Linked DNA regions of Saccharomyces cerevisiae S288C. The gene in region 1 interacts genetically with each later gene. Each region holds a gene or a part of one and is shown on either strand. Other genes may lie near its edges. The genes, in order: TUL1, PIB1 and SSH4.

What was found.
Region 2: of TUL1 (region 1) and PIB1, changing one enhances a phenotype caused by changing the other (phenotypic enhancement), as found in Saccharomyces cerevisiae (one study listed by BioGRID).
Region 3: of TUL1 (region 1) and SSH4, changing one enhances a phenotype caused by changing the other (phenotypic enhancement), as found in Saccharomyces cerevisiae (one study listed by BioGRID).

The regions. Positions count from the first base shown.
Region 1 is NC_001143.9:370,249-374,760, forward strand, and holds TUL1 (ubiquitin-protein ligase TUL1), read left to right. Parts: upstream 1-1,580; coding exon 1,581-3,857; downstream 3,858-4,512. Other genes in the region: UGP1 (UTP glucose-1-phosphate uridylyltransferase), read left to right, coding at 1-1,142; YKL033W-A (haloacid dehalogenase superfamily protein), read left to right, coding at 4,257-4,512. UniProt on the Saccharomyces cerevisiae protein: Catalytic component of the DSC E3 ubiquitin ligase complexes that tag proteins present in Golgi, endosome and vacuole membranes and function in protein homeostasis under non-stress conditions and support a role in protein quality control.
Region 2 is NC_001136.10:1,088,590-1,091,830, forward strand, and holds PIB1 (phosphatidylinositol-3-phosphate-binding ubiquitin-protein ligase), read right to left. Parts: upstream 1,491-3,241; coding exon 630-1,490; downstream 1-629. Other genes in the region: SSF2 (rRNA-binding ribosome biosynthesis protein), read left to right, coding at 1-353; RAD34 (Rad34p), read right to left, coding at 1,844-3,241.
Region 3 is NC_001143.9:208,511-212,832, reverse strand, and holds SSH4 (Ssh4p), read right to left. Parts: upstream 2,241-4,322; coding exon 501-2,240; downstream 1-500. Other genes in the region: signal recognition particle subunit SRP21, read left to right, coding at 1-338; RRN3 (rDNA-binding RNA polymerase I transcriptional factor), read right to left, coding at 2,703-4,322. UniProt on the Saccharomyces cerevisiae protein: Components of the endosome-vacuole trafficking pathway that regulates nutrient transport. May be involved in processes which determine whether plasma membrane proteins are degraded or routed to the plasma membrane.

The DNA.
Region 1 (4,512 bases):
TTGGCCCTAAATCTGTTATTGAAGTGAGAGAGGGAAACACCTTTTTGGATTTGTCTGTTCGTCAAATTGAATACTTGAACAGACAGTACGATAGCGACGTGCCATTGTTATTGATGAATTCTTTCAACACTGACAAGGATACGGAACACTTGATTAAGAAGTATTCCGCTAACAGAATCAGAATCAGATCTTTCAATCAATCCAGGTTCCCAAGAGTCTACAAGGATTCTTTATTGCCTGTCCCCACCGAATACGATTCTCCACTGGATGCTTGGTATCCACCAGGTCACGGTGATTTGTTTGAATCTTTACACGTATCTGGTGAACTGGATGCCTTAATTGCCCAAGGAAGAGAAATATTATTTGTTTCTAACGGTGACAACTTGGGTGCTACCGTCGACTTAAAAATTTTAAACCACATGATCGAGACTGGTGCCGAATATATAATGGAATTGACTGATAAGACCAGAGCCGATGTTAAAGGTGGTACTTTGATTTCTTACGATGGTCAAGTCCGTTTATTGGAAGTCGCCCAAGTTCCAAAAGAACACATTGACGAATTCAAAAATATCAGAAAGTTTACCAACTTCAACACGAATAACTTATGGATCAATCTGAAAGCAGTAAAGAGGTTGATCGAATCGAGCAATTTGGAGATGGAAATCATTCCAAACCAAAAAACTATAACAAGAGACGGTCATGAAATTAATGTCTTACAATTAGAAACCGCTTGTGGTGCTGCTATCAGGCATTTTGATGGTGCTCACGGTGTTGTCGTTCCAAGATCAAGATTCTTGCCTGTCAAGACCTGTTCCGATTTGTTGCTGGTTAAATCAGATCTATTCCGTCTGGAACACGGTTCTTTGAAGTTAGACCCATCCCGTTTTGGTCCAAACCCATTAATCAAGTTGGGCTCGCATTTCAAAAAGGTTTCTGGTTTTAACGCAAGAATCCCTCACATCCCAAAAATCGTCGAGCTAGATCATTTGACCATCACTGGTAACGTCTTTTTAGGTAAAGATGTCACTTTGAGGGGTACTGTCATCATCGTTTGCTCCGACGGTCATAAAATCGATATTCCAAACGGCTCCATATTGGAAAATGTTGTCGTTACTGGTAATTTGCAAATCTTGGAACATTGAAGGTGCGGCTTGCAATCCCTTTTTTACTTTCAATTCTCCGTTAGGTTATTTATTCTACTACACGCAGTTTTTTTTTTTCAATGGGTTATATATCTCTAATATATACACATTTATATGTTTAGACTTATACAGAAGCAAAAAAAAATGCAAAAGAAGCTTAGTGTTCATAATTCTTCACTCACGTCATGTTATATATTTGTTAAGCGTAGCTTCAGTATATATAGAGATTTTCCTTTGGCGGGGTAAGGGTCTGTGAACTTTAGGGAAATAGAATAAACGTAAGTTAAAGGTGACAAGCTCGGATCGTCATCTTTCAATTATCACCCCAAAAGATATTGTAAAAAAGCAAGTTCAATCTCGTTTGTTACATTTGTCCCGTATTTCTACTAATTCAGGCAAAAAAGGAAAGTCCTACAGCAAAAGAGGCAAAAGTACAGTATGGAAATCGATGGCAACACTCTGGTGTTCATAATAGTGATCCTTTTCCTATTTTTCTCCTCACCGGGTGGTGATGGTGTGTCTTCTCAATATGAGTTCAATCAACTCCAGAGACTCAAGCAGCAGTTCCGAACAGAGCACAATACGTTCGTCAATATGACATATACAGATAGTTTTCGAAATATTACCGGGCTTAAACTCAGCTACCAAGACATGCTGAATAATCCTCTCCAAAATGCCACTTACCCACTACCAGGAAAAGATTATGATCGATGGTTTCCCAATCAAAACTACATGGTTTTGCCCAACGATGTCATAGAGGCCATAAATACTGAAGTCTGGAATACTTCGAATGATGACGCTTCCAACCTTTTCCCTCCCAATATTACAAGCACCCTGTTAGGTAAAATCGACCTTGTATCAAATAACAAGTACGAAAAGATAAGGATGCCTGTACCCAGATTCTATGAGCCGGCAACTGATTTTTCAGAGGATATTCCTCCTGAAGGTGAGACGTACTGGTCTGAGTGGCCTTCGTATGGCGAACTTCATAATGTGAGTTTTCAGCATGGCGAAATAGCTATTCAAATTTCTCATATGAGCAATCTTCAGGACAATAATAATTACTTAAGGAGAAATTTCATAAATAAGAAAAATGACCGTTGGAAGTTGTTAAATCTTCAGATTGATTTCTCAGATAAGGCTGAAAAGGAAAAGCATTCCATATACTCGAAGGCTGTATATGACATTCAACGTGGTAGAATTCTTTCTATTTCTCAGAGTTCTAAATTTCATTCATTGTTCGCCCTTCCTCATTACATGTCCTTCCAGAATGATTATAATGAGAAAATATTTAATGATGTCAAGGAACTCGTTGATGAATTTTGGAATTTCACGGATTACACAGATGTCATGACCATGAAAGACGTACAGGATGCTTATAATAATGCCAACTTTAAATGTGAGTATTTGATTTTTCTTCAGTTGGAACCATGGAATCAGTACACAAGAGATCAGATCAAGTTAATAGATGATGAATTGAATTGGCCCCTGGGGCGTCCGGCAAATCTGTCTAGTTTACCGCCCATAAATGTTGTCTCTGGATTACTGTATTCTCCAGACTGTGGCGTACGATTAGGGCTTCATAACGTAAAGGGTACACGGTACGAATTAAAAATAATGTCGATCAGAAAACATCTATTGTTCGGTATTGCATTATTTGCAGCCCAGATATACTTATTGCTTACTCAGATGCATCATACAAATACCCCCTCCATGGTCAACAAAATCTCATTCTATTGTTTCTCAATGATAAACTTAGTCGATGGTTCCTTGGCCACTTTGTACTTTGTCGCAGCTAGTGTCGTTCCCGAATTGTACTTACCCCTAGTTATAAGTGCTTTTTCGTGCTTTATCTTGGCATCTATTTTTGAAATACGCTACTTAATTTCAATTTACGCTTCACAGGTTAACGAACAGAATGTTGGGATTATCAACCTCCTGCGTGGTAACACTGGCACATATGATGAGAATAGGCCAAGACCCGCATTCATTCCCGATGAAGGGTCTATCGGTGGCTCGTTATATGGTAGGTTTTTCTTTATGCTAATCATTTTCACGTTTTTAATATTGAGTTCAACTTCATGGCCCCGTCAGCTAAGGATGGTATTTGAGTATATCCTAATCTTCATATTAAACTCATATTGGATCCCTCAAATTTTCCGTAACGCCGTTAAAGGTATTCCTTCAAGAAGAGAAAGAGCAAGATCTAGCATTGGAGGAAATAGAAGTCAAAACAAAATGCCATTATTGTGGAGTTTTGTAATTGGTACAACAATAATTAGAAGCTTGCCCGTTGTGTATGTTTTCACTTACTCCTCTAATGTGTTCAGGCACCATAAAGATGTTCATTTCGTCGTATTTTTATCATTGTGGCTACTGTTTCAAATTAGTATACTGTATTCTCAAGATGTATTGGGATCGCGCTGGTTCTTGCCTAAGCACACAATACCTGATGGATATTCGTATTTCAAGCCCCTTTCAAACGAGTATATATCGGAGCATGGTGGTGGAACTGCTGAACATACCGTTGATTGCGCGATATGTATGTCTGATGTTCCAATTTACATAGAGGAAATTCCAGAAACTCATAAGGTGGATCAGCACTCTTACATGGTAACGCCTTGTAATCACGTATTTCATACTTCGTGTCTAGAAAACTGGATGAATTATAAGTTACAATGTCCTGTGTGTAGGTCACCATTACCTCCGTTGTAGATAGCATCTCTTGATCCTAAGAACTATATACTGTATTTGTATTCAAGATCCAAGATACCGTGACATTTCCTATTTGTCAACCATTGCAATAAGAAATTTTACATGAATAGTGCATTAACTTTTTATTACCACTAAAGTAGTTTTGCTTAAATATACAATAGGCAAACTAGACTTAGGATAATTCACAAGGGTTTTTAGTGTTACCCTTTTTCCGTATGACACATTTTTCGAGGAATTAATTATTGGGAAAATATTGCCGATCAAGATCCATTGAGGTGAATCTAAATCGCTCCAACTCCAAGTTGGGGAATCTTAAGACCGTCACTGCCTTCCAATTACACTGCTTTTGTTTCTTTGACAATAAGAACGCAAAAGTAAATTTCTTTTTTTTAACAAATTATGACACATCCTGTAGCAGTGAAGGCATGTCTATTTGACATGGATGGTCTTCTCATCAACACAGAGGATATTTATACTGAAACTTTAAATGAAACTCTCGCAGAATTTGGTAAGGGACCTTTAACTTGGGATGTGAAGATTAAATTGCAAGGGCTTCCGGGACCGGAAGCAGGAAAAAGGGTGATCGAACACTACAAATTACCAATAACTTTAGATGAGTACGACGAAAGAAATGTTGCATTGCAATCTCTTAAAT
Region 2 (3,241 bases), on another chromosome or scaffold:
TAAAACTGGTCAAAATAGAAGATGGTATTTGTTCAGGTAAAGTATTACATCATGAATTTGTTCAAAAATCAAGCGAAGAAATCAAAGCCTTAGAAAAGAGACACGCTGCAAAAATGAGGCTGAAGGAACAAAGAAGAAAGGAACAAGAAGAAAACATTGCTAAAAAAAAGGCTGTTAAAGATGCTAAAAAGCAACGTAAATTGGAAAGAAGAAAAGCTAGAGCAGAAGAACAGGGTGAAGGTCAAGGGAAAGATGGTGCAATGAGCGATGATGGATCTTCATCGAGTGAAGATGAGCATTATAGTGATGTACCAGAGGATTTGGATAGTGACTTATTCAGTGAAGTAGAATAATGCACGATATGTATATATATCCTCCGTACGTAACATCACTATCCATATAGTAGCCATGACTCCGATGGACTTAAAGAACCAGGAAGTGTCTGTTTATTCATAGGTGAGGGAACACCTCAAAGTAAATATTAATGAATATATAAGATCATAATTAAACAAATATATAGAAATCTTTTACAATTAAAGAAAAAAATAAAAGAAAAGGGAAGTTAAAACTTCGATTATTAACAGCTGAAAAATTAAACTTTGTAATGAAAAGCAAATTGGGAGTTATCGTTAAAATACGGCATCATGGAAAGGACAAAAGTTCCTTTTAACAAAAGCATGTCCATTTCCCTTCTGGGCTGCAGTCATTTGCGCCCTTTTGTGAAACCAGTTCTTAATACACTTATAATGGAAAACACACAAGCATTCTAGTCTCCCAACTTTCTCACCGGGTTCCATATTCTCAAAACAAATCGGGCACTCCTTAATTGCATTATCTGTTGTATTAGGCGATATCTTGTACACTAACATTCTATTTTGAAAGGCAGGGCTTTCTTTTACGGAGTCATCTGCTGCATCTGACGTATTCGTATGTTGTTGGGCATTTTCAGCTCTCTGTATGCAATCCTCTACGTGCTTTCTGGTCTCTTCTTCATCAGGAAACTGTGTGAGATCTGAGTTACAAATAGGGCAGAAGTGATCCTCCTCGTTTTGTGAACTTTCTTCGCTCCTGCATGCCGTACCGGATTGATCTACCGAATCTTCCAGGATTTCCGCGTCTTCATCAGTGTTGCTATCTGGTGCAGAAAGTGCAAGTGCATTTGGTGGTACCGAAGTTTGCGATAGTCGTACATCTCTGTTGGTGGAGGATACTAGTAGATTTAAATGAAGGAGGTTATCGTAGCACTCATTACAAGTTCTATATGGAGGCGATTCCACGTCGCTATTTTTTTTCTGCAAGGCATGGACTCTCTTTTTATTATAATTAACAAAATTTTCGGTACAAGACGAACAAAATATCCTTCCACAACACCTACAATGGTGTCTTCTTACGAGAAACGAAAAGTTCGTCTTGCATTGAAAACAGCTGTGAGCTTCCTCGTCTGCCTGCCACCTGGCAAGATTATTGATACAGTCCTCTTTAATAACCATGCGCTTTAGTTCTTCATATGTTCTTTTCTAGCAGAAAAAAAAAAAAAAAAACAGCAGTAGTGTACAGTGTTTGATCAGGTTATTTCTTAATCGTCCGTCCCCTGTTTACTATAAATCCCGAGAATAGTTCTACTTTTTCTTTTCTATTCTTCTCTTCGGTGAGCTGCTTCGATGCCCATTACCCGGATTCCATGATACTCCGCTATTTCACTGGCCCTTATCGAAGATTTCCTTCTCCAGAGATATGATTATGCACAGGCTTCCATACGCTCTATCGATCGTGCAAACATTTATACCCTCTGCGAAACAGCGTCGAATCCATTTTACTTTAGAAAAGGTGAAATACGATGTAGTCAATGGTCGTCCAACGTTTCTTCATTATTTCCAACATTACCGTACTCAGCATTTAATCGATCGTTAACTCGTAGCTTTCTTAATAGAATGTCCCAGAACGAGAGTCCCAGTAGTACTTTAGTTTGCTGCTTCAAAAGCTGGACTGCTTTATAGTCTGTCTCTTTGACTAGAATGCTTTCAATTTTCGGAATGGCATGGCCTTTTTTCTGTTTAAAATCAAATCCACTTACCACATCCAAATACTTGATTTTTTGCATCTTTCTTTTACCTTTGTTATACTCCTTTATCAGGCATTTAATATCAACTTCTTTGCTAAGCGGTATTAATTCAAATCCATCAGGCTTAGTTTCTTTCGAGTAAATTTCGATGTTGCCAAATTTATTTTTATAATGCGACAAATCTGTTATCACATGTTCCTGTCCTAAATGATCGCAATACGTGCTGGGGTATTTAGGAGACTTCATTGTTTGCTCATACGAAAACAATTCTTTGATAACGTACTTGTCTAGGTTTCTTACCATCCTTTCCCTCATCGGTAGATACTTTTTACGTTTTAATGGTTGAGCATTAGGTAGAATGGAACGCCCTAATATTGCCCAGTGCTGTTTACTCTTTAATTGAATGACGTCTCTTCTCCAAAATATGGGCTCTTGTGAATTGTCTCCCTTAGTAAATGTTGCGGCTTGTTTTGCACATGCTTTTAATACTTCATTAGACTTTAACAGAGAGGGAATCACGAAATTATCTGTTCTTTTAATCTCTGTCACACTCTTTGGTAATGTAAAATTAGTTAAAGCAATCTTTTTCATTATTGCGTAATGATGAACAGATGCTTTTTTCTTGTTCAAGACTTTCAACCACTTAGATAGATATTGGTAGCTAGTGTAATGCTTCGATTTCAAAATAGGAGAAGACTCAGATAATTCAAAGTACCTGTAACAAACATTTGGCACATATCTTGGTGAAACATCTTGTAGTACCTTTTCAGCATGATTGATACGGACTACATAATGAAACTTTTGGTTTAGGTTGTACTTCATGTCTACCGAAGGTTGATAAGTAGGGACAAACTGATCTTCGCGTGTTTTCAAGACCATTTCACGTTCACCCAGATGGGCTATAGGGTCAATGATGTATAATTCACCATCGCTCAAAGTAGGAACTTCTAATTCAATCCAAAAATAAGGTTGTATTAGGTCAGAGTCAAATCTGTTGGGAACTTTGCCAATACCATGTTCGATTTGCCACTTCACCTTATTGCACCTAATATCGTAATCGTGCAAGGGCAAGGCAAAGCATAAGTAAAGCTTCTTAGGCCCCGGTAGCACATTTTCTAAGATAATAAAGAAGAACAACGTTAGAATATCTCTGTTGGCCATTTTCCTTTTAGCCATCTT
Region 3 (4,322 bases), 160 kb from region 1:
TTACTACTAATAAGAGTAAAGATGTTTCAAGATTACTTAGTGCATTAGGCCCACGAGGCGTATCTATAACTCCAGGTAAAATTGAAAAAATAGCACAGTCGAAGAAGAAAAATAACAAAATAAAAGAATCGAGTAAAAAAATAAAAGGTAAGAGCATCCAAGACATTGTTGGTTTAGCCACCTTAATTGTCAACACAGATGTCGAAAAGAGCGATCCTGCGGCTAAGAAAACTGCTACAGAACCGAAGCAAAAAGCTAATGCTGTGCAAAATAACAATGGTAACTCTGCAGCTTCAAAAAAGAAAAAAAATAAAAACAAGGGCAAAAAAAAGCGTTAAATATTTCATGTATACTAGGAGATTGAATATGAAATAAAATACTATATATATATATTTAGATATAAACCCATCTAAACTATCGAATTGAAGAAAAAAAAGCTAGTAGGAATGTATATATTGTGTATGCGTAAATTGTAAAAAAAACCAAATTCATAATGTCTCTTATTTTCTCGATCTGTTCTTCTTTTTAGAAGATTTGCCTCTGTTTCTTTGACGTTTTTTAGTAGATTTATTTCTAGGGTTCTTATTGATAGCTCCATCTGATACTTCACGGGGGGTATTTGAATTTTCCGGTCTTTTATTGCCATCATCTTCCAATAATGGCGAATTTTCATTGCAACCAGCGTTCTCATCGTTGTTATTAACATTGTTATCGGTGTTGTTATCGTCGGTTTCAAGACTGTCGTGGTAAACATTATTTTCTCTGTCAAAGTTAGAAGAGATTCTTTCATACGTCCCAACAGACCACAGGGGCTTACTAGTTTGCGCCGTTATCCTAGAGGATGACCCTTCTTTTACCTTCATACTACCAAAGAAATTATCAGTGTCAGCATATCTTGGTGGCAATTCTTCTCCTTTCTGTAAAATAGTATCCTTCTTGATCTCGGTTCCATTATACGCAGGAGGAATTCCAATTTGGCCATAAACACTCCCAAACGCATATTTTTTCACATTGGCTTCTATAAAGACGAACCCAACTTGGCCCAAATTAACATGTAATTCAACCTCATCTGACGTCATTTCATCACTTTCATCATGTGGATCGTGAACTCTTTGAAGATCTTTGGCGACTTCAATATCTTTGCCTTCAGAGAGAGCTTCACGGAAGCTAACATTATCCGGGTCTTCCAATAGACCATCCCTCGTATATGTTCTTGTATATGCGGCATTAAACGCGCCAATTCCAATGAAAAGATCAATGCCAATATTTTGTGTTACATCCATTAATTTTTTCCCATTATGTGTAATGAAGATTGTACCTGTTTTATATCTGTAACCGAATCCTACCGTGTCACCTTCTTCCAATTTTGGTAATAATGTGCTGGCAGTGAAGGGGTTATTTATCCTCAGTTTACCTGTGGATTCGTATGCAATGGAGTATTTGGCCATGCCCGGTACCCTGAAATAAGGATATGGTACAGTAGTCAAACCTATACTGAATATACTATTGGACTTTTGAATATGTCTGAAAATTTTAACTTCGAAATACACTGCGTCCTTCCTATTGTGAGGTAGGGGATAGTTCATTACAGTGGATGAGCTCTTATTGAACTTTGAAAATTGAATATCTAGTTTATCCTGGACAATAAAACTGGGTAGAAAGTTTCCATATTCGTCTATATTATCATTAATGCTTGGTAGCAAAAAATAGCTTTGAATGCCACGATCCTTAATAAACTGCTGGTCGTCACTGTCCAAATACGTGCCAAAGTCCTTCACCATTGGCGGGCTCATCATTTGAAACTCTTTCGCTCTTATATACAACTCAACCTCGTACGCTGACATCTTTGGTAATTCTTCAAGTTCTCTTTCCTGAAGAACGATCTCATCATCAAACCCGCCAGGGGATGCAAAACTCGAATCCAACAAGATGCCACTATGTTTTTTACCAAACAAAGAGTGCAGAGTTCCTGAAGTTCGTGTACCTAAGGCGTTCTCTTCGTCGTATTCTGATTCATCATCACCACAAAAGGTGACATATGCCGCTATTACTACCAAGATGAGCATTAATATTGCAAACGTAATAGAAAGACTTATTAAGAAAGCCAAACTAATTGCTGCAGAATCTGAATCCATAGGGGGAGTTGGTACCATGTTAGGGTCACCTACTTTGAAGTCATGATTCGGACTCTCTAGATTACCAAAAGAACTATCCAAAGCCTCATTAAAAGTGACATACATTGCTCTTGTATACCTTCAAGTTTTTTTCTTCTTCCTAGTTACAAATAAAATAGATGAAAAAAGAGCTATTACTGCTTGTTCTGTTTATTTCGATTAATAATACCCACTATTGACTTTACTGAATATAAATATGTGCCAAGTAATCTAAGTACAAGCTGTTCGGATAGCTGAGATTTTGACTCAGGAACCCCTCCCCACAGAAACTCTTTAATAAGTAGACCTGCGAATGTAAAGCGCGCACGTAGTAAGTGACGAGAACAAACAAGCGTTCTAAAATGCAAAATATCGTGAAGAGTACACTGTGGAAAATAAAAATACTAAGTTTCTATAGTATCTAGAAATCTAAAAAATGTGTTAAATGCATTTATGCTATATATCCTCATTTCAACTATTAATGGGGTGACTACAGTGTATCATTAGTTTGTGACGGGCATGTCTCGAAGATACCTATGAAAAAAGACCTTAGTCATCCGACCCATCACTTTCATATTCCCCGCTTGCTTCACTCCACTCTATGTAGTATTCCTTCATTAAAATTTTATAGTTTTTCAGAAACAAAGGATCATATGGGAAGTAACTCTGTAAGTCAATAAATTGTTGTCGAGTGGCTAAAGACCAAGAAGACGATGTGGTATTTGCTTGTGCGGAATTTTCCTTCTTGTCGCTATCAGCTTTGCCGATGATTCCCCTCAATCTTTCATTGTTGTTATTTTCAATTATGCTGAAACAGTACGCGACGCTTTCTTGTTGGGCAATACGAGCAAACATCAACATGACATTTTCATTACAAAACTTTAATGGGTTAAATTTTGAAATGACCATTCTTTGAAAGAATTTGTCCAGTTCACACTCCCAGTTACCATCTGTATCTCTGAAGATGTTATGTCTGAAACAGAAAATGTAACAAAGTGCTTGAAATGCTGCATAGAAATGTTTAAACCTTTCCATACCTCCACGTTGATCAACTTCTTCTTCTCTTTCGATAACGTATCTATTCAACCAGGACGTTAAATAGCTTGCAACGAAAATAATTTGAGTTCTGGATAGTTTCTTGGCCCTCGCAATGTACGACCCCAAATATTGTAATGACTTAATTTTCTTCTCTGCTGCTTCGTTGACGGCAAACGAAATATCTATCAGTGTCACTAAAAATGAATCCATTAGTTCTAATTGTTGTTGTGAAACATGGAACATGATATATTGAATCGACCTGGTATAGTACGTGGGTAGAACATGCGTTTTAAATAATGTTGTTAGAGTGTTGAAGACTCCTACGCCTTCACCGCTTTCTAAACTCTCCGGCGTCACTTGCTCTTCCACATGCGTGCTTACCAAAGTTAAGATAGAGTCCAATTTGGTGGAAAGTTCTTTGATTCCCTGCGTCAACTCCACATTATATTCTTCAGTACCGTCCATACCTTCAATGATGTCCATATCTTCACTATCACTTTGACTACCGTCGGCTGCTCCAGACCTTAACTCTTCATTACTGTTCCCACAATTTTCATCATCATCGTCTCCTGAATCATCATCTAAATCGTCGTCATCCTCTAGATCAACTTCCTCTAGATCATCGTCATCTACATCATCATCTAATTCATCTAATTCATTTTGTAACTCGACATCAATCGAAATAATCTTTTCTATCAGTAAGGACCAAATTTGGAATCCTAGCTCAGAGCAGTAGCCTCTCAATTTCAGCAAATTTGAAGTGTAATTAACCAACTTTCTCCGAGTATCATTTTTATTTGGGAAAAATTTGGCCAAATATGTATCTATGAATCCCATCGAGGAGGGAATCATCCTTAAGAAATATTTAAGCATATCATGATGACACACTGTCTGTTTGATTGGTAAAATAAAACAAGATACCAGTATCATCGAAACGTCTTGCCACCATTTGGGTATACTCGAGCAAAGGATTTTGATGAAATATATATATTTACTTAGAGTGTGTGGAGGCAATTCCCACCACTTCTCAAAGTTTATGATAGATTGTATGAGGAAAGTTCCCCTGGAGGATTCTATCCTGTTGATATTACTAGATAAGATATCCAAAAGAATATTGAGATTCTTATCATT